Drosophila melanogaster: one gene and its partners. The gene in region 3 interacts genetically with the main gene of each other region. Each region holds a gene or a part of one and is shown on either strand. Other genes may lie near its edges.

Region 1 (6,038 bases), 8.5 Mb from region 3:
AATTGGCTAATATGTAAGCAAGCACTTTATATGGAATACATTTTTGGTAAACTACCCTTGCACCATTATTCTTATTTCGTATTTTCTAATAGAACTCAAATTTTTTCTTCAAATGTACAGCCTACAACATACAAGTGCCGGGTGAAAGGTGATTCAATAGATATAAAATCCCAAAACAAATTTAACACGGTCCGCACAATAGCAACAGCTGCCCCCCACTACGCCCACTCGAATGACTAATGCTTCATTAGCCGCGTGATTAATATGTTTATAAACATTTCCATGTCAATTAATAACGAGCAAACCATAAGAATCGAGCGAAGAGGTGCGAGTGAATAATATGAAAGGGCGCCAAATGGAATCTACCCCTCTCAGGCGACCTTTGGGAAGATTAATTGAGTTAAACTCTGGTCGCCATAACGGAAAGCATAAATCAGCGAAATCGAACAAATCAAAGGCATTCCCGAAAAAATGCAATCAGAACCGTTCGTTCGCCTCCAGCTGGGCGAGCGGGAAAATCTTCATTAAATGCTGTTTAACAATATTATCCGTAAGATACGAATCTAAGATAAGATACACACAACAACAACAACAACAACAACAGCAGCAGCTCAGCAGCCAGGCATCCGAGCATCCAGGCTCAATTAAGCGACCACCAAAAGATACCCAGATACCCAGATATGGGTATCTTTTACTCGGTTGCCCAGCTGCAGATACTACTCCTTTTATCAGGCGCCTTCCGCGGCTTAATGTCGTCAACTTTTTCGGGCTGATTACGTGAGCGGCGGGCAGAAGGAGGGCTTTGTGGATCGAGGGGCCACGGAAAGGTAGCTGCAACCAGCTGCATTAAGTTGGCCATGGGAAGTGAAGAGCAAGCACCTGCTTTTGGCCTGGCCAAAAACAGGAATCACATCATCATCATCATCATCATCGTGGTCTTTGTCTCTCGGGCTGCCTCGAAGGCTTCTTGTGGCTGTTGCTTTCCTCAAGCTGATTTGCATGCTCCTCAGCTTAGGAGTTTGTTAATGTTATTATGTATTTACCATGCACTCGTCAAAAATATTTGAAAGTCCATACTGGAAAATAAATTCGGATATCTTAGAAGAAGAATTAGATGTCATTACAGAAAAAATCTATATTGTGCACGTTCATAAATGCACGTAAGTAATCTACTATCCATATCGATGTGTCATCGGTAAGCTGATCACAGTGTAGCCACAACAAACTACTCAAATCAATCAGCGACTGGTGGCCATTTGGCGCGCCACTTTAAAGAAATTCATAAACAAGCAAATCGTTTGACGATTATTATTCATTTCGTTTCATTTATGATTTATGCGTCAGCAACACGCGACATGCCAACCTGGCGACCTGGCGACGTGAGCTGCAACTGGACATGAGACATCAGATACTGGGAATCTTGGATAGGCAGGGTTGTGGGGCTGATGGAGACCCCCATGACAATACCCCCGCCCCGCCCCCGCCCGATTTCGAAATTATTGCTTTATCAGGCGAATGCCAAGCCCAGTTTAGCGCGAGTATGTGTCCAGTCGACTGTTTAGCTGTTCAACAGTTCGAAGAATCGAGCCAAGCCAAGTCATGTCAAGTCAACAAGCAGCACTTTTTGCGCAACATTTAGGAACAAAAAGAGAACACTCATATACGAAGTACGAAAAGAATTAAGCAAATTGTACGCGGCATGCAGTTTTTAAACTGGGACAAGTCACAGACCTCCGATGGAACAGAACTTCAATTGAAAAGACAAACAACAGTACAGCAGTTGTCGACAGTTTTTTATCCGGCTCAGTATTTAGTAGTGCGATGTGTGTGTAGCACTAATTCCTGCCAAGTTTCCGGTTAGCCCCAGAACACAAAAATAAAAAAAAGAGTAGAGCAACTGGAAGAGCCACAACGTCAACAGCATTGTCCGAATTAAAACAACATAAAGTTTTTAATTACACTAGCAGCAGCATGCGAAAACATTACAGGGGAGCCTCCACAAACTCGCCTCGAAGCCTCGAAGTTGGGCAATTGAGTTGCAAATTGAGAAGCCGGAAGGTGGTGAAGGGCAAGGGGATTACATGGATATTTTTGAGGATGCTGCAGCTGATTCAATTATGAGCTCTTAACTCTATTGCCAGCGGCTCGAATCACTAATATTATGAAATTTGTAAGCCTTAGTTAGGGAGCTGTAACAGTTGAAGGTATAACTACAGCAGTAGGGTTCATTTAACAAAAATCGAACTATATAAAGAAATGTTGGAAGAAAACTTTGAGGAATCTGTATATGCAACTGATTAAAAATATGTGCACTATTTTCTTATGGCGTCGTTTCATTTAAAGTTTTTAAAATATGATAATCCTAGAAGGTGGACACATAGTTCGAATTTCAAGGGTTCTAAAAATAGCCTGTTCGCATAAAACCCTGCCAAAAAGTGTTTGCAATGCAATAGGAGGCTAACTAAGGCCATTCCCACGGACCTCAACTATTTGTTATCTGTGATGCAACTGACAAGGTTTTCCACTGGACGAGTCCATTGAGATTCACCTCCATGAGATCCCCCCTCGCAGCGCACACCTTGGTAATATTAGCACACAATATTTTATTACACAAAAATTTATGCAAAAATCAAGAGTAAGAAGAGAACAATAATAAATGGGCAGAGCAGACAGGGCTCAGAACCCTGACAGGCCCTGGAATCAGGCAACTGAAAGCTTTGGCGACGCTCTGCCGACGGCAAACCAAGAAATTCAGGAACGGTTGACTGGATCTTCGGTAATCGAAACTGGGAATACTCTTGTGGGAATTGGAAAGTATTGGTGATTTTCAAAAATATATTCCAAGTGCCTAATGGTATGATTTTAGGATTTTAATAATGTCTCGATAATGCGAGCCGATCTTTGAACATCAACTTTAACAGAATTACATTCTCTTGTCCTTAAATCAATCAAATATAAGCTTAATTGTAAAAAAAAAAAACAAATAAATTCAGGATCATATTTCCATTTTTGAAACAAACCACTAAGCTAGGCACTACCTCTACATAAACTTCTGCACAATTTCTAAAGCAATCAAGTCCTTAGTTCCAAATGAATTCCCCGTGATACCGATCCCCATCCAATCACCAATCGTAGGGTATATCCTTTTAAAACGCTTCCTCGCCGAAATTTGTGTTCAATTATGATACCCCCTATTAGGGTATAAAAGCGCAAAAAGCCAAGCACCGAAACTGTTTTATATGCAAGGCAAGGGCGTAAAAGGTTTTTTTAACGGCCAAAGCCGCAGCTGCAAAACTCAAGTCGCCGGCGTTGATTTATGAAAGTGCACGAGTCGACGTCGATCGGGATCGGAATCAAAGGGGGATAATGCAAATTGCCTGGCCTTTGCAGCTTTGCAACTTATGCAGATCAGTGCGGAGCACACACGTTTGACAGTTTCGCAGCGCTAACAACACCCACGCAAGCTGGATTATGTCGCCCACTCGAACTCGCAACTCACTTGGATGCCCGGATATCCGTAGGCGCTCTGGTAGAGCAGTAGGGTCATATAGACGACGGCGACGGCTAACATCATGGCTTGCAGGATTCGCTTAAAACGTTGCGGTGGCGAGAGCACAGTCAGGCTCATCATACGGTTACGGACCACTACGCGCACATTGAAGCACCGCCGATTTGATCACTGGGTAGGTTTTATATTCCAATATTAGCTGGTTCTTTTCCTGGATCGTATGAATTCTGCTCGATTTCTGAAATTACGATATCTTTTAAGTTTATTTCGATTTCGATATCGCAGCACGCGCGCACTGACGTCTTGCTTGTGGCAAGCTTGAAAAGCAACTGATTGTGGTAGCGCGATCTACTCTTCTCTTCTTCCAGCGAAAATCGTAAACAAAACAAAAACCAGAAAGACCAGTAAGCGGTGAGAGTAGCGAGAGAGAAAGAGAGAGAGAGAATTCCCTTTGAGCTGGTCCAATTGGAAACGTTAGCTGCTCCAATGGGAGCAGCTGGCGCTCTCTCTTCGATCGCGCTCGCTCTCATCCTCTCTCTTTAGCTTGTGCCACAGTAGCTGCCGAAGGCAATTTTCATGTGCTCGTGTGTCGACCCCCACTCAGCCCACTTCTGATCGGAATCGGGGATTCGGAATCGTGTAAGGCAGCCTTTGAAGGTCCCTTTTCCAGGTGGCGGCCGTATCCTTAAAGTAAACATAGTTCAACTGACTTGGCAGCGCTCCAAATGCGGTGACTTCTTGGCTATGTCATATATACCCCCACTCCCCTCCTGACTACCCTGCCACGCCCCACCGCCCACCGTCGGCGACGACAATTCCATTAAAAGTTGTACGTTGTCACTTTGCGTTAACTTATCTGTGGAGCATGTTGTGCGATCGCATTTTTATTGTCGCCATTGTCTCTCGCTCTCTCCATCGCTCTTTCGCCTGGCTTCCCTACCCTGCCCACACAGGGAAGCCTACACACTCTTAAATCATGCACTTGGAACAAAAAGTGCAAGCATTAAACTTTATTTAAACATTCAAGAGCCGCTCCTCTATTTACCATTGAAATTTTATTTCAAATAGAGAGGTCTTTTCAGATTATATTATACCTTTAAGTGGCTTAGAAATAGTTAGACAGTGTATTTATGGATAAGTAATTAATTTAACTAAAAAATACAAACAGAAGAATTCTTTTACAATAATTTCAAACTACTAATTTCTACATCCCTTTCTCGCTCCGTGCATCAAATGCATCCACATCTCACGTGCGTCGGCAGCGTTCTGCGACGTTTCTTTGTCGCTCGGTTTTTGTGTAGCACTTGGCCTGCTCCCCACTTGACAATGCTTTGCATGCCAGGCACCATCCAGCAGTATCTTCCCGTTCCTCCTCCTCTTGCTGCTCTCAGCCCATTCAGCTCGATCCCATTCCATCCCAATCCGAATCCCATCCTACTCCTCACCAGCTTGTCATATTCCATGTTTGTGGCGGCGACAAAAGCTTTTGCGGACACCTCTGCCCGCGTCGACTGCGCTGCCCGCACAATCAGCAACTCGGCATCTTGTTCGCTGTCCCTTTGTGCGCCTTTCGCCTGAATTGCATTAAGCAGAGTCGGCGGAGCACTGCAAGAAAATAGTGAATTCGTATTTAATTCGGTAAGAGAACAGCATAAAAATGTAAACTTTTATCGCCTTGTGTCAGCTGAAAAATCTATCCAACCCTTAATAGTTTAATGTTTTAGATTATTTAAGACTGAGCCCTTTAAATACAAAAGCTTAGCATAAATTTAGAACCATCGACAATTACCCAGGGGCTTTAAAACTGTTTAACTTAAGTGGCCATTGTGTGTACCCAAATGAGCAAGCAAAATCAATTGGCCTTCACAGTGTTTTAATTATTTTTATTAGTTTATTATTATGTCAGTATGATTTTTCTACCGGTGCAGAGACGGTGGTAGCGGCGACGCAGGCCATTCCAACCTTGTTCTGCCACAGAAAAAGACATCGCTCGGCTGGAATCAGCCGCCCGCTTGCCACGAAACCCTCGGAACCCACTTCCCATTCCTCCGTATTCCGCCCACTCCCATTGCTCATTTTTAATGTGCAATTCCGTATGTACAGTTCGTAGCCATGGCCACCATTCCGCTCCGTATAAGTGTGTGTGTGTGTGTGTGTTTGCATAGCAGCTTGGTTGCCGGTTAGGCATGTGCCACCTCCAGCTGCAAGCTGCCTGTTCCAAGTTCCGATCCCCAGCCTCCAACTTCGGCTGCAACTTCAACTGCATCTTCAACTGCAACTTCAGCTGAAAAGCCCAGATCACAACCTAGCCTTATAACCAAACGAGTGCAGCTCCGTTTATCGGGCGGCCTAACCTTGTTAGGATTGTAAAATGTAAACCGAAGGCGTTGCCACGGACTCAGTGCTCAACTCGGACTTACACATCCCAAACCATTTTAAGATCTCCATAAAAATTAAAAAATAATTGTTCAATAACACTTTTGAAAATACCATACAACTTCGCATGCAGCTTGCAGCACAACAAAAATGT
Region 2 (7,544 bases), on a different chromosome or scaffold from region 3:
GGAACTAAACAAGTTGAAGTAACGGTTACGACCGACCCCTATAAACTTTGAAAATCCGATCGATTTTGCCATCGATTTACCAATCTTGACCTACGGCTTTGGATTTACCGCGCATGGAAGGGAGTACGTGTCCAAAGTCTTGTGAATACAAATTTTTATAGGACTGGATTATATAGTTTCCCTTGATTTTCTTGCCTGACTCCCACGCCACCGATTTCCCACGCATTGTATTTTGCGAGAATTTCCATTTTTCCCCAGCGTGTGAAAAACGGCAGCAGTCGGCACGGCAAGCTAAAGACTAAAGACGACGGCAGGTAGACTTAGATTTTTCAAGATAATGAACTTTTTTAGTAGACGGTATGAGGTTGTGTAGCAGTCCTGAGAACTTTTAGAAATTGCTGTCTCCCCCTTTCTAAAAACGACCACAATCATCGCACTCGCCTATCCAAACAGTGGTGGAGAAAGAGGGCCTGGGGAAATGTGAAGGAATTGTTCATTAAAAATTCCAAACTAATTTCATATTCAGCTTCTTATAAGACGGCGACGACCTTAAGAGGTTGCAGTTCCAATTGCCAGAGCCAGAACTTTTGGTGGTGGTTTTTCCATCATAATGAACACAGGCGGCCGCCAGTAGTTTGATTCCTCACGCAACCAAAGTTCGTTGTTTAAGTCTTTCGTTCCCATCGCCCGGTGCAGTAAAATCTTAGGGGTTGCAGCCAAGTTCCTATTGGCTGACTCTGATAAGAAATATGTCTCCCAAGTGCAAGATGAGATTAAATGCTTGGCCAGCGCTCACCTTCTGATTCCGTCGAGCGGAAGTGAGCGATAATTAATTCAAAACTGCGAATCTTAATTTGTAAATCTGTAAAGACAGCAGCAGCAACGAATGCATAAATATTCAACAAAGGCAGTAAAAATTCTCACAGCAGCTCGGCAGCGGCTTTTTGGGCTGTGAGAATATTCTGCTCCTTAACTTGGCCAAAACGGAAACAATAGTGTTATATATCTATGTATATTTGCTTCTTAGCTTCGCGTTCAGCAATTCCAGACCAAACTATAATTAAAGTCGGCCCGTCCGAGGGGGTTGAGGCAAACCATCGTGGGAAGAGCTGCACTTGTTTTGTTTAAAAATATTCACACGATACTGGGTAATATTCCCACAGCAATTTAAGGCAACCAATCCTCCCCAGCGCTCCACCTTAGGCCACAGGAAAAATGGTGAACCAGAAGAATCACGCTAAACCAAAAACATAAGCTGACATGATTTGATTATTCTTTGTCATCATTTGGGATTTCTTTTTTTTATTTATGTTAGGCATTTCGCTTACACTTAAATAAATCGCTGTTTTGTCTTGTTGCGATTTTATTTTACAAAATATTTTATTGGGATTTTTAATGCTACGAATTTCCAAAGTTAATAAAAAAATGCAACAAAACTGTATGTACAGAAACAAATTTTTCCCTTTTTGACTTTGTCTTCGACTTTTTAGAAAGCTAAAGAGGGAAATGGAATGTTTTTGTAGCGTGGCTACTGGCTTGTGTATAATAAAAATTTCCGATGCATTTCGCAGTATTTTTTTTTTTCATTTAGATCTTTGGAAATTCATAGCAAAGAAAATCATAAATATTTCAACCGCATCTAAAAATCGTCTATAAACTTACATCAATTGTATATTTAACTAGAATTACATGTTTTGTGTAAAGGTATATTCATGCACATACAAATGTATGTATGTATGTCAGTGAGCTTTTCGAGTTATGTACAGAGTTTTATGTGTCATTTACAATTCTATTGGTTCCGAACTAGCACTAGATACATGTGTAAAGTATGATTCACTTTAGAGAGAAGGGGACACATTTTGGTTTACGTCACGAGGGGTTGAAAATTAGTATGAGAAAAATTGTCAATCTACAAACTAAGGTCTTCGATAAAAACTATAAATAACTTAGGATACATATGTGTGCGATGCAATAATCCTGCACTCAGGATAAGCCGCTACCATGACTATTCCATTGCACTTCTGAGATGGAGGGCAGAGCCTGATGCTGCTGCTGTTGTTGTTGCAAGCCACCGCCGGCTGCCGGCGATCCCGCATTGTTGCTGTTATTATTGTTGCTAATGCTAGTGATGTTATTATTGTTATTGTTCTGTCGCGCTCGCATCACATCCTCGGCCTGTGTATTGCAGTGCGGCCGAGGACCTGGTTCAGGTGTATACGTGAAGGTCAGACCGGTGGCATAAATTATTCCATCGTTGCGCACCAGCGAAATGGGCACCTGCGTGGGCTGACGTACCTGCAAGGACCATTAAAAGTAAAATTTATAGCGCGTATTAAACAGATTTACATTGGAAAACCTACCCAAAGCCATTCGCCTCGAAATTGTGAAATCTCCGGCACCACGCATAGCAATGTCTCTGTGCAGCGGTACATGGTTTCCGCCTCCACATCGCCAAACCACACCTGCAGATGCGGCGTAAAGTTGTCGCCACTCAGCTCTAGCATGGCCACATCCCCGCCGCCATTGAGATTAAGGGAATTAACGATTGGCACTGGAGTGACTGGAGAACTGGAAGAAAACACGAAATGAAAACTAATCCATTGAGTTGTAAGTAAGCTATACTTACGCCACAGGACCCATGCCCTCGTAGAACTGGTACTCAGCCTTGTCGGTGGATATGATGGTCCAGCAGGCGCCGTCATTGATCATCTCCTTGTTCGGCTCCTTGGGGCACGGCGTGGCCTGGAACTGTATGATTTTCTCCTGCGACAAACAGAGATACATCCGATCCGTATCCTTCATGTAGAAGGCGCATTTGTGCAGCTGAGAAACGGGATCGTCGGCTTCCAGCAGGGCCATCTGCTTGTCTACCTTCCGGATGATCAGACGTGGCAGGGCCATGCCCGTTACGGAGCACACCAGTTTGACTGTGGCTCCGTAATGAATGTAACCATCGCGCACCTGAAACTCCTCCGACTCGGACTCATTGTCATCCAGCAGGTGTATCGTAAAAGCTCCCCATTGTGTTGACGACGCATGAAAGTGTCCGTTCTCCACGTGAAGGTAACGGGTGGAGACAGTCTGGGAACGCAGGCGATTGAACAGGGCTACATTGGTGCCGCTGGCTATGCACAGATCGGCATTCTTTAGCGACTGTTTCTTTTTGGACGGCTTGGATATAACCTTGATCCGTTTCGAGTTAAAAACGCCAATGTCATGACCGTTTCCGTAAAACATCTTCACCGACAGCATAAAGTGTTTTCGCTTGTCCGAGTCCGAGATGAAGAGCGTCTTGGCCGCACAGTACTGCTTGCCATTGAGATCCAGCTGCTGCATATCCTGGTCACTGCTCCCGATACCGATGAACGCGCATAGTTGTGCTCCCTGTTCGCCCTCGCCCTGCTGCAACATCTCCTCGTACCGCCGGCGCCAGCCACTTCCGAACAGATAAATGCACGGCGGTGGGCAAAAGAATCGCTTCTCATTGCCATAGGACTTTTGGGCCACCTGGAATTCACACAGACAGACAGACAGAGGCGCACGATGGTGCAGGGAAAATTCAATTAGTACAAATTGCCGTCCAGATTATCGGAAAATCATATCAAAACCGCAAGCAATGCAGCTTTGTTAATTTTCTGTAATTAATTTCAATTATTTTCATTGCGGACTGGACCGCGCTCGCGTTGCTCAATTTGCGGGCAGTCGAGTGTGAAGGATTCCCATTTGGCGGCAGTCGTCGCTTGAAGATCGCCACCGCTAAAAGCAACCGCGACAATTTTATTCCATTTTCATGTCTGCGTTCGCCAAAAACCGCAAAAATGTAACACTTTAAAGTGGACAATGGAAACACTAGCACCTTTAAATAGTGGGTGTGGTTTTGGCGTTGCGGACTGACCGATTAGATTAAAACTAAATTATAAAAAAAAAATAAATATCTTGTAAAGCATACAAGTAATTTTCAAAGAAAGGATACATCGTTAAACTTGAAATAGAAAGAAAATCTGAATTTAATCTATTTAATCTAAAAAATCGAATAATTTAGGAAATCGACGTACAAAACTGACCAAGTTTCTAATTTAAATGAAAGTTAGGATATCCTACGTTTCTCCAGTTTGGGTTAATATATTTTTAGTAATATTGAAATAATGTATTTCAAGCTTCAAATAATTTAATTAAGACTTAAGACTCAGGAGTTCCCTTGTATGTTTTAGAATATCTTGAATACTAAATCCAGACCAAGCACCTGATAATACCGGCTTAAAAGTGGAAATCCTTTCGTACCTTGGCGTGCAGGATAACGATGACCATGTCGTTGCGCTCGCGCATGTACTTCTCCATGGCGTCCCGCGTGAGCTTCTTCTCCTCGATGTGTGGCCGGTAAGGACCCGGCAGCAAGGACATCTGCATTTGTTGTTGATGCTGCTGTTGTTGTTGTTGTTGTTGCTGCTGCTGCTGCTGTTGGTGGTGCACTTGCAATTGTTGTTGCTGCTGCTGCGACGACGGCGGCTGCGGACCGGGCAGTCCAAAGTGCGGCATATCCTGGCTCTGTTGTTGCTGCTGCTGGTGAGGATCGAGGGGTGAGCCGTTGGGATTTACAACCGTAGTTTCGTAGGCAATGGCGGGCGGGGCGGCGGCGTTTAAATTAAATTGGCTGTAGCTCTTCATTTATGCACATGTCTCCTTGCATTGAACTTATTGGAATTTTGTTTGGATCTTTTCTATTATTTCGTTTTTGGCTATTTGGCAAATTCGTTTGGCACTTTATACACTGTTCGCTGGTGCTGTTTTTGTTGTTGTTGTTGCTGCTGTATGTTTTCTATTTTGTTATCCTGCTGCACAAACACACACGCAGAGCAGCTGTCGTTTCTCTCACGCACTCTCTTCCTCTTAACCGCGGATTGGCTTTGTTGTTGTAGCTCAAGCTGGATTTGCGGCTAGCTGCGATTCACGACTAATCACACATATTTCAGCGTTTCGAGCAGATCTTGACTAGCGACTAGCGGTAGTGGCGGCTGGCTTCTGTTTAAGGCTGCAACTAGCGCTCGAGTTATATTTATAATATGCTACAACTAAAAAAGCGACTGAGGATGTTGATGTTGTATCGATAGTCCGATAGGCGCTTATTTATGATAGTCGCTGCCTACCGGCGATATGTTTGTCGCTTCACAGCACTGTTGGTTGGATTTGGATGGCAGTGGGCATTTGGTTATTTTATAGCCAATTTGGAGTAGCTAATATATTTTGTTTTAACTTTGCAGTTTCTGAATACATTTGTATATTTATTCCCATCACATCACTGTTAAAGATATTATTTCTTATATCTATAAATACTTTTAACTGATGCGAAAGGTATCGATTTTCATTGAACACTTCGATTTTGAGCGCCCACATTTAAAATTCAAGGTACAAACTACCAACCTTCTTGTCTAACTGTCCATGCATTTTTAAAACGGGCCGTGGGAAAGTACACATGGGTGAATTTAAAAGATAATTCGCGACTTTAGGCTTAAATGTAACCGTTTAAATAGGTTTAGTGGCAGAAACACACAATATGCAACTAAAAGCTGTTAATTATGTATCAGAATGTAAGCTGTAACTCATTAAAAAACGAATCTGGTGGAGTACACTTAGTTATTCATATATTTTAGCAGTCACAGTGTAAAGTGGAAAAATCTACAATCACTGAATATCATTTGCAATCCGATAGGCAGGTACAATCGATATCACCGCTCGATTTTCGGTGCATTGCCATATCTAACTTGTGAAATCAAAAATCGGTTCCGTTCGGTGCTTGAACTTTTGAGATATTCTAGAAACACATCCACAATGGAGAACTTTAAGGGTCTACAAAAATCCCTATACATATGGACGGACAGCGCCGACTTGGACAAGCGCGTGGAGCAACTAAAGGCGGCCACTGGCGGCGATGTGGCTTTGGAAAATGTGCACCGCCTTTCGTTTTGTAAGTTGCGTGCGGTGCGGTGTGTGTGTGCTGTTTTTGACTAGCCAGTGAGTCAGCAGATTAAAATCAGTGATGTTTATGCATTACAGCTTCCTATGCCAACTCCAGTTTCGACCTGATTGTGATCGAGTGCGCCCAGCTGACCGACAGTTACGTAAAACTGCTGCACATGCTGAAACCGAGTGGCAAACTGCATTTGGTGTCCTACATCGGTCCGGCGGCTAGTTTGCTGCAGGAGATCAAGCTATCCGGATTCATAAACTGTCGCGAGGACTCTCCAGATGCTTTGACCGCCGAGAAGCCTGGCTACGAGACAGGATCCTCAGCCAGGTTGTCATTCGCAAAGAAGAACGCCAGTGCAGTCAATGTGTGGAAGATAAGCGGTGACGATGAGGAACTGATCGATGAGGAGGAGCTGCTGGACGAGGAAGACAAACAGAAGCCGGATCCGGCTGGTCTGCGTGTCTGTAGCACCACGGGCAAGCGCAAGGCGTGCAAAAACTGCTCCTGCGGGCTGGCCGAGGAATTGGAGACTGAAAAACAGAGCCAGAAGGCCACCGAGAATGCCAAGTCAAGCTGTGGAAATGTGAGTTCTCTTAACCCCGATGTGAGTTAGCATTAACCTCGATTATAACTGATTTCTTATATGCACAGTGTTATCTCGGCGACGCCTTCCGCTGCTCCACTTGCCCCTATTTGGGCATGCCCGCCTTTAAGCCCGGTGAGAAGGTGCAACTGGCCGACAACCTCCTGAAATCCGACATTTAACTTAGGCTCACCATGGTATACCCAATCAATCACATTTCAAATAGTTTATTAAGCTGACTTACTAACAAACAATAATGTCATAATGTAAATACAAAAATGCACCGCGTCATAAACACAGCATGTAGATTTAAATATCCAAGTGATCACATTTCGCATGGTGTACCCTTGATGAGATCGCGGTTCTGGCCCATCAAAATACGATAGTTGACGGCCGAGGGATCGAGTTCCTTGTACAAATATGTCGGCATCTTGTCGGACAGCACCCAAATAGTGCCTTCATTGTCGATTTTCATGTCATTTGGAAAGACCAGAGTGTGCGAATCGGAATCGATTAGCCCCTGGGTGTCCGGAGTGTATGGACGCTTGATGTTCCAACAAGCAATGGCGTCTTTGTTCACCTGCGTATAGAAGATGACGCCGGTCTCGGGGTCAAAGACCTCGGCGGTGGACTGGCCATTCATGCCACGGTCACCAACGTATTTAAAATCGTAATACGAATCGCCAGCGGTCACGTGTGATTCGTTTTGCAGCACGCGGTTCGAAACCTTGAACTCCTTGGTACTGGCCAGGGCATGGAAATAAATGTCCTTGGAGTGATCTGGATTCATTGGGCCCACGGCCAGCCCAAAAACGCCATCCGTCCACTGGAAGTTCACGCCGCCCACATTGAAATCACCATGCAGAGGATCGAAGTGGAAGAAGTTGTGCTTGACGCGGTAGGATTTGTCGTTCCTCAGGGAGTACACAATCACACCGTAGGCACCCAAATCCGGAATGTAAGCAAAGGCATCTTGGCACTCCGAGCGGTCCGCAT
Region 3 (9,320 bases):
AAAAATGTTTGACTGCGCGATTATATGGCGCTCATGAGAGCGCCACTTTGCCCTGGTCCATCAAACCAAGGCATCCTCCAGCGAATCCCTTGGAGCCGAAAATCACGTTGATGGAATCCCCAGGCCGTCAAATCAAAGTTAAGTACACTAAACGAAATCACTGAATGAGCGCGAACCCAAAAGGCAAATAAAAGCCGAATATACATATATTGTATGTATATATGTATATATATAGCACAGACGTGGCGCAGACTGTATAAATATCGTATAATGTATAATTTATGGGCCCGAGGTGAAAATATTTTCAATAGAAGGTGATTTAAATTTATTAAAGGAATGCTCACGAGCAGAGCTCCGCACTAAATTAGAATAAGTCGATTGGTGGTATGGCGATGGAGATGGGGCTGGGCCATTTGCTCATAAAAGCCCAAGCAAATTGAATTTGTGGACACCCGATGACCATTCCCGAGCCCAAAATTCTCAAATCCCCCAATACCCCCTAGTCCACAACTTCCAATCCCGATCCCGATTCCGTTCGGAGCTGTAAGTATCGACACGAATGGTGCTCCACGCTCTTTCGCTTATCAGATGCGAGGAGCTCATTTAAATCTCGGCCAGGCCAGAAATAAAGACGCGCATCCACCCGGTTAACCAACCTACAAAAGTCAACGATCCAAACCGATCCCATTCCAACCGATCGGATCGGATCCAATCCAAGCCTGCAAGCTCGCCTTTTGTTAACACCATAATTTACATTGATTTATGTGCTTAGTTGGTTCGGCATTTTTAATCGGTCCCCATACGATACCATATGATACCAAACCATACCATCCATTCTCATCTCCTCGTCGCGTTTAGTCTGTCCCCACTGTGTTTGTGCGCGCGGCTTCATTTGGTTATAATTAAAATGTCGATGTTATCAGCCAGATTTGGACATATTGGCCATTACGTTCGAAATTTAAGCGTTTTCTATGCGCGTATTTTGGATTTGGATTTTTTTTTTTTTTTTTTTTTTTTTTGATTTCGATTTCGTTTGGCTTTTTGTTCTGTCTTCGTTCGGTGTATTAATATTTAATAACGTTTTAAGAAGCTTTCGAGTGTTGTTAAATGCTTATTTATGCTTTTCGGCCGTGTTTGGTGTGTTTGTTTGTTGCCCAGTGTGTTTGAATGGATAATTATGCGTGAAATCGAACGTATAAATTGTATTTGTTGTCAAACCAAAGCGAGTCTATACAAACCGATTTCCTGGTCATATATTTCTGTTTGTTTATTGCCGAAAGAAAGTAAACGATTCTTCATTATTTCTTGCACTTTTTATTGGTTTCTCACTCAGCGGTTGACCATTTTAGTTTTTTTCTTTTATTTGAGCCAAAAACACTTAGTCTACGCACTAAATATCAGTTCAAACGCAACCAACTCAAGAATCAAATCCTTAAACAATACGCATTCATAAATAGATTTGGCTTAGGACTATTTTAAAGTTTAAAGTTACATATAGTTAGATATTGCATATGCTATAGCCTTAAATGGTGATGAGGTAAGTCGGCAGCCGGCGAATGAACAAGTATTATAGTATAATTATGCATAACTATAGGGTATACAATGGGCATGTGCATTTCAAGTGGGACAAGCGTGTTCGTATCGGGTATTAGTTACAATTTCAGCTAATCTTAAGCCGCCCATTATGTTGTTGCTGCTGCTTTCTGCTACATTTTTCTGTTTACTTTTTTCTATTTTTATTTAGTTTTTTTTTTCTTTTTTCTAGCGACCCCGAACCGCAGCCAAGTAGGTGAGCAGCATTTTAACTTTGGTTTTTCGATTTGTTTGCCCACTGTGTGTGTAGTCGCTTCTCGTATTTCAGTCCACCAGTTGCAATTTCAAATGCAATTGCAATTGCATCAGTAGTTGCTGTTGCTTTTGCTGCTTTTGTTTTTGTTGCCACTGTCAATCACAGAGGCGCGCACAACTCAGGTTTTCAATTAGACTTTGCCGCCGCCCATCTAGACCAGGTGGCCCTTGTCGCCCATGTCGCCCATCTAGCGGTCATGCTTTAGGAATTGCAACGTGGCCGGCGCATCGGAGGATGACAGGCGAGCCACCTTTGCCGCCGTTGCCGCCGACGACTCAATTTCACCATCGGAATCGTCGTGCACGTTGATCTCCTCATCCGAGTCCGATGACGAGTTGTCCACCGTCATGGTTGAGCCGCCAGATTGAGTGGTGTTGGTATTGGGTCCCGTGCCCTCACCACCGCTCCCCAAACCACCTGCGGAGTAGTGCAATCTGGAGCGCTGCTCCTCGGCGACCGTTAATGATGCAGCCACGGCATATTGCCTGGCCAATCCCAGGAAGGCAGCCGCCGAGGGCGAGCTCACCAGACTCCTGAAGGCACTACGCTCCCCGCCCATGGAGAGGTGATTCGCCGCCGGATTGCATCCACTGGGTGAGAGTTGCTGTTGTTGTTGATGATGTTGCTGCTGCTGCTGCTGATGCTGCTGCTGTTGTTGCTGTTGCTGCTGCTGGTGGTAGTGGCTGAGCAGCTGGAGGGCAGCTGGATGCGTGGGTAGGTGCAGAGGATGATGGTGATGGTGGCCGCCCGGAGGACCATGCAGTGGGTGTAACAGCACCGAAGGTGGCGGACCCTGTGGCGAGTGGTCACCGCACAGGGGCAACGGCTGCTGAGGTGGCGGCACGGGAGCCACTGGAGCGGAGGTGGAGGCACTGCTGTGGTTACTGGGCGTGGGCGAACTGGCCGGTGCATCGTTCGACTGCTGCGAGTGCAGCGGATTGGCGGGACTGGAGCGCTGACGCTTCAGGAGATTCATGCGTTGGTGGCGACGCCATTTAGCCCGGCGATTGGAGAACCACACCTGGAAAGGGTAGAAATAAATGATATTTAATAAAGATTAGTTATTTGAGGTTTTGGTTAATTGGCTTTGAAAGAGGTAACTCTAATTTCTGATATAAAAGTATTGATTTACTCATTAATTTAAATCAAATGGTATGTAACTACTTTACTAGCCACTTTTAATCTTGCTTTTTGAAAGTTTTGAGTGAAGCCTTTGTTTTCACCTGACTCACCTGAACTCTTGCCTCGCTCAAGCTGGTGCGACTGGACAACCGCTCCCTGGTGCTCACACAAGGATAATGACTCTTGTCGAACTCCTTCTCCAGCTCCTCCAACTGCTCCGGACTGAAGGTGGTCCGATTCCGCCTGAACTTGGGCTCATCATCGTCATCCAGATAATCGGAGTCTATGTGCCGGTTCTCATCCGCTGATTCCAAGGTATCATGGCTGCCAGAGCCAGGGGAGATGGCCCGATTGGTTGGTGTGCCACCTGCTCCGCCGGCCATCAAGTGCGCCGAACTGAGGGAGCCACAAGTGGAGACGGGCACAGCGCTCGCTGCACTCGGAGGCAGATTGGCGAGCGTGGGAGCGGCAACGGACCACAGGGCGGATGGAGGTGGCGGTGGTGGTACCCCCTGGCCGCCGGGCACATTGCCGGCCGGATGCCAGGTGAAGCTACCGTACGGATGAGGGGGTGGCGGGTACAGGCCATAGGCGGCGGTGCGAGCAAACTCGGTGGCCACCCGCTCGGCGGCTCGATTGCGCAGGATGCGATTGATGCTGCTCACCGATGGAGCGGTGGCATTAGTGCAGACACCTGCAAGGCGGGATTACGCAATTACCGAGCAGTCGAAGATCGAGATCAAAAGCTAAAAGCGACCGCCGATCAATCAGCGTTCAATCTGCGTCCGCGGATTAGCTGCAATTATGTGGAACACTCACCCTCCGAAATCAGGCGTTCTCGTATCTCCCAGGCGAAGATCGTTGGATTCTCGCGCTTGTACTGTTCGATCTTGGAGACGACCGTCGGCGTGGCCACCTTGGGCTTTGAGCCACCAATTAAGCCCGGTGGTCGCAGCGAGCCTGCAAGAATCAGAGCACAATTCCAGTTAAATTATGAGACAATGGATTTATGACTTTGCCAGCCTGGTTTTGGCAATCCATCTGTTTTTGGCTGGCAGCAAGGATTAACCCTGGTTGCTAATATCTTTATCTGCTCGTTTCATCAACATGTGATGTATGGAAAATATGAATGGGAAAACAATACAAGCCTTGGCAAATACACTGGTAGAAACCAGAGCAGCTCAAGAATTGGAAAACTTAAAAATGAGTGATTTTAACTACTTAAAGTTACTGTAATGACGGGTTTAAAAGACTTAAAAAATTCTAAACATGGAATAAATGTGATCACATATCCTTATTTGGAATTAAGCATTTTTTTCTTTCAGTGCACGGCAGCACGCACCAACCAACACTACCACCAAGGAATACCCGCTCGTGAATAAGCCGCATTTTGATTAATGAGCCAGCCGCGTTTTGGCCACCGCCAGTCAGGAGTTTATGCAATTTTAAGTGGCCAAATTACACGGCTGCGCACACGAGGGATACGCCACGCAGGGGATGGTAGGGGCAACTCGCAGGATAATAACATGTTTATCATAAAAATTAGCAAACAAATCGAAAACAAAGTACCCATTAGTTATCTGATGAGGGAAGGAACTGAGAAACTGAGCGGTCGTCCCTTTCAAGGGCTCACAACTCACCTAGCAACTTGGAGACAGCTCCCTGCTGGGTTAGCATGTGCTGGGCAATGTCATAGCCACGCAGTCCACCGAAACGTGAGAATTCCAGGAGGCGATGCTGTGACATCAGGGTGTTCAATGTGCTCCCCGTGGGTCCACCTGCACCGTGCGGAATGCCGCCAGTGGAGCCGCCGCCGCCAAAGCCGGGTGGTATTTGCACAGATGTGGGTGATGTGGATGTGGCCCCTCCGCCACCGGCTACCGCTCCCGATCCCGCTCCGGCCGCCGCTGCTGCCGCTGCCGCTGCTGCTGCTGCTGCTGCTGCCACGGATGCCGCCGCTACTGCAATTGAATGATAATTGGGTATTGTTATTTTATTGTGGCTTTAGCTGTCGCGGCCACAATGGTTAATTATGATAAATTAAGCGTTAATTGTGTTGACCGAACCGAAATGACTGATGGGTCCTACGAATATATTAGCGTTTCTATTACCCCAGCAAATGTCTAAGCTGATCGAATGGCCAAAATGGTGGCGACACGCAATCGAATCTTCCAGGCACGAGCAGATTTATCAAGCTAATTGATACGACAATGATCTCTTAGTACAAAAGGCGAAAATTAAAATATGTACTCAGCTGGATACGAAAAGAAAGCAAAAAACAAGTAGAAAAACAACTGTGTATTACGTTAATTCGACAGAATATTATATTTGCCTTCGCTTAAAAAACCTACATATATCATTCGGCTTGGGCAACTCGTCGCTCAAATTGTCAATTAGCGTTTTAAATGCGCGTTTCACTTTTGTTGTTTGTCAAGTAAATATTTTTAAAAAAATACGCGCACCTCCAGTCGTGCCTAACTGAATATACATATATGTAAGTATATGGGCCCATAATCAATTGTGCCGCCCATCAAATGAGAACCAGTTTTGTTTATTTCGGTCTATTTAAAGGTGAAAAGCAAGGAAATGGGACTGTCAAATGAGCCACGCAATTGGTAATGTGACATGCGTAACGATTTGTGTTTGTTTTAACTGAAGATTTAAGTTGGAATAACATAAAACATTTGTTATGAACATACTAAGTACGAACATGACAAATTTTAATCGCTTTCTTATAAATGGCCCACATTGTTTAAACTAGAAATATTATAAAGGATCACACTTATTTTATCTTCTGTTTAAGAAAATAAAAAGGCACTCAAAGTTAGTTTTACATAGACCTTTGTATGATCAATTTGATAATTTACATAATTTATCTACCATATACCATTTAAATAAAAAATTGTTTGTTTTACAGCGAAAAGTTAACACCAACTATATTCAAACTAAATGGATCTGGTTAAGAATTACACATAAACACATTTGACCCAGTTTGATACTTTATTTAATACTTTAACCGAAACACCGTTTTAACACACTAATTTAAACGATGCTTAGTTATTAGTTATACATAATTTCAATAATAGATTTTAGGTTTTATCGCGAAAGAACTAATTTGTTTAAATTAAAATTCGAACATTCCGGATTTGCTATCGAATGACATATTACACCTTTGACCCAGTTTCGGATTTATTTTTTGAAGATTTGTGTATATTTTCTTAAAATCCCCAAGCCTGGCTTTGCCGTCGGCAAGACTTCACATGGGCACTTTGGGGCACTTACCACTGGAAGCGTGAGGGGCCAGCGATGTGATGCGTTGGGGATGGGGCTCCATTTTCCAGTGCGCGGCCGAGAGGCCAGAATTAGCGACAGTAAGCGAGCCAAGGTCACGGTTTAAAGTCGGCTCAATCAACATGTCTAAGAATCGCTCTTTCCAATTCTCTTTATTATTTATTGTTATTTTATATTTGTTTATTTTATTAATTTTATTTGGGTATAACACAATCACAGTCACAAGTGTCGCACATCCAAGGCAGAGGTATCGATTATAGCGAATGCAACCGGAAACGGAAATGGAAACGCAATGCGGTCAATTGGATTCATAGCGTGCTGCTCACTCACACACTCGCATACACACGCACACAGATACACACACAGTGACAAATGCACGACAGTCGATCCCGACAGAAACAGTTAGAAAACGCTCCTGCGTATCTCTTGCTCTTATTTTTATTATAGAATTTGTTTTTATCGAATTTCTTGCGAACACTGCGCTCCGTTGAAACGTTGTTCACGCGAAAGCTGCTCTCAGCACAATGAGCGCTTGAATTTCACCTGGTCACCCGGGTCACTCCGCTCCACTCGAACAGTTTCACTCCGCTTTTGAGTGCTTTTCGAAACGCCAACCGGTTTACGAGTACCGTACTTTCATAATGGCGCCCGTTGAGGCAAACTCTTGCTCTCTCGCTCTTCTGCGCGAGAGCGGGACAACCACATGCACACTATGCGCGCACACAAATCAAACAATTATAAACTCGTTGTTGGTAAAGTGCTGAGTATAAACAGTGGCAAGAAGAAGAAGAAGAAGCAGACGAATGAAGAGCAGTGAGTGTGAGAGAGAGCGAACGCTTTGGGGAAGTGACAAGAAGAAGAACCAGAATAAGAAGAGAAAGAGGAGTTGGGGAACCCTTTAATTTTAACTACAAATGTAGTTGGGATACCATAGCACGTTTGAAGTCAACCTTTAGGTGCATTTCTCGCCTAATGTAATATTCTAATTGATTGAATTAACCGTACAGCTTAAATTGTACCATTTAGGAACATTTAGTTCGTAATCTTTACTGTTGAGTAATGCATTCAATTTATCGTTACTTTAAGCCAGAGACCATGGCCCCAATAAGTAGGCACTTTCAAATACCAACTCTTGATTATCATATCGATCTGTGTACAAATGAGCTACATTTACAAAAGTTCATGCATATGTATAATCTCTAACAATTAAGGCTAAAGACTGAAAAGAAGTTTGGCTTTTTGCTTACACTTCTAAAATAAATAATAATAATAAAATATTTTATTTCGAAATTATTAAAATAGCTGTAATATTGTATCAATAAAATGGCAGTATGGTATGTTTGTTTTACTTTTTATTTGATTCTACTCAGGAGAAAGACAAAAAAATATATATAAATAATTGGTAAATAATACCTCAGCAAAATATAAACATTAGCATTATAATAAAACAGAAAAGCATTAAATTGCTTCCTTTTTGTGGACTTCATAACTACTATTCCGCTTTTAAACTGACCAATTGCAATTAAAACTCGATTTTTAAACATAAACTTATTAAAAGAAGATTTAAGCCTGAAAGTCCTTTTTAAACAAACTAAATCGTTTATTGCATTGAAAGATAACATAAAATGATCGCTAAATAACAATAACTAAAATGCCTGCAATTTAAAAGAGCTTAGTAGCATATAGCCATTTGAAAGGAATTTTAATCCGGTCAAATGTGCAGTGAAGTGGCCAAATTGCATCCATTGCGATCCAGAGTGAACCTTGGACACGTATAAATCGCATGCGTGGCATGGGCCGTTTGCCATTCAGGTTTGCACTGCCCGTTTTGGGTCGTTGTCTCCCGGCCTTTGGTGCGTGATGGATGATTGATGTGCTGCCTGGGCAAGGCAATCCGATGTGAATCGAAACTGCAACTAAACTACACATGGCGTGATCGGGGAGCCACACAGATCACAGCTCGCAGCTCGCAACTCTCAGAACAGAACGGGGCAGAAACGGGCTACACCAAGTGGCAGAGTGGCCTGCACAGAAGCCAAATTGCATCAAAGCCCACGGATTGAGTGGCTCCCGGCGATGCAGGATTCGAATTGGAAGCTGAAAGATGAAAGCTGAAAGCTGAGAGTCGAGTTAAAAAGCAATTACCTGAAATGATTCCCCAATGGAATGAGATGGGATGAGATCAGTTGGGATGGGATGGGATCGGGTGGAAAGAGGAGCGAGTGCAGAAATCTGGATGCGAAACGATATGGTTCAGCAGAATCACCTGGCGATAATGAGATGTCTCACTAAGCTGATCAGAACTGCCTTTGTATTTATTTGTCTGTTCGAATGCAAAGTGCACAATGCACCGAACACTCGTGCATATATGTTTCTTCGATTTGTGAAAGGCGAATCATGAATGAAACGCTGCTGACGATGACGTTCGAGTGCCCTCATGCCAGAGATCCAGAGCAAACGCAAACAATCGAACAGGAATAATTTACTAAGTAAATAATATCTGGATACCGATCGCTGCACGGTAAGAAATTGCGTAAACCGGTGACCCATATTGCTCAGCAACCAAAGAAACCTTTCAGCACTGAGATATTTTTCATTCCATTGTTTTCTGGGATAATTTAAAGTAACAGAATTATCTTCTTACAACATTTTTTTGTCTTAACTTGACAGTAAGAGTTCTTAATTAAAGTCTGAAATTTTTAAAAATATTTTTTACGATTTTTTTTTACTAGTTTACTCAAGATCTATAGCAATATTTAAAGAGTTGAATCAATGGTCTCTATGGAATAGTGTTATATATGGTATATACATATTTCGTAACCATTTGATCCCAATTTTGGCCAGTGTAATCCCCGCGAGTAGCGTGCGCCCTCGCCCCATCAAGTGGCACTTCAACAATCAAGCATTCACACAAGCAGATGGTCCGCAGCCGTTGGCGACCACCTAAATGAAATTTCATTTAGTTTTTTTTCGCCCGTCATCGCCGCCGCAATCGCAACCCGCTCCTCGAGATCTCCCCATCCATCGCAGTCCATCCAATCCATCCGTCCAGCGCAGA

The links.
Region 1: of eyg (region 3) and fng, changing one suppresses a phenotype caused by changing the other (phenotypic suppression), as found in Drosophila melanogaster (one study listed by BioGRID).
Region 2: of eyg (region 3) and Su(H), changing one suppresses a phenotype caused by changing the other (phenotypic suppression), as found in Drosophila melanogaster (one study listed by BioGRID).

The regions. Positions count from the first base shown.
Region 1 is NT_037436.4:20,945,671-20,951,708, forward strand, and holds the start of fng (fringe), read right to left. Parts: upstream 3,843-6,038; 5' UTR 3,632-3,842; coding exon 3,500-3,631; intron 1-3,499. UniProt on the Drosophila melanogaster protein: Glycosyltransferase involved in the elongation of O-linked ligands to activate Notch signaling. Possesses fucose-specific beta-1,3-N-acetylglucosaminyltransferase activity; extends the O-linked fucose on the Notch EGF repeats.
Region 2 is NT_033779.5:15,037,058-15,044,601, reverse strand, and holds Su(H) (suppressor of hairless), read right to left. Parts: upstream 5,115-7,544; 5' UTR 4,666-5,114; coding exon 4,282-4,665; intron 3,508-4,281; coding exon 2,627-3,507; intron 2,569-2,626; coding exon 2,361-2,568; intron 2,296-2,360; coding exon 1,984-2,295; 3' UTR 1,268-1,983; downstream 1-1,267. Other genes in the region: CIAPIN1 (cytokine induced apoptosis inhibitor 1), read left to right, coding at 5,827-5,962, 6,052-6,548, 6,617-6,730; yellow-c, read right to left, coding at 6,874-7,544. UniProt on the Drosophila melanogaster protein: Transcriptional regulator that plays a central role in Notch signaling, a signaling pathway involved in cell-cell communication that regulates a broad spectrum of cell-fate determinations.
Region 3 is NT_037436.4:12,461,233-12,470,552, forward strand, and holds eyg (eyegone), read right to left. Parts: upstream 6,790-9,320; 5' UTR 6,387-6,789; coding exon 6,254-6,386; intron 4,933-6,253; coding exon 4,612-4,932; intron 3,932-4,611; coding exon 3,791-3,931; intron 3,666-3,790; coding exon 3,082-3,665; intron 2,871-3,081; coding exon 2,037-2,870; 3' UTR 1,305-2,036; downstream 1-1,304. Other genes in the region: CG32102 (uncharacterized protein), read right to left, coding at 7,925-8,191.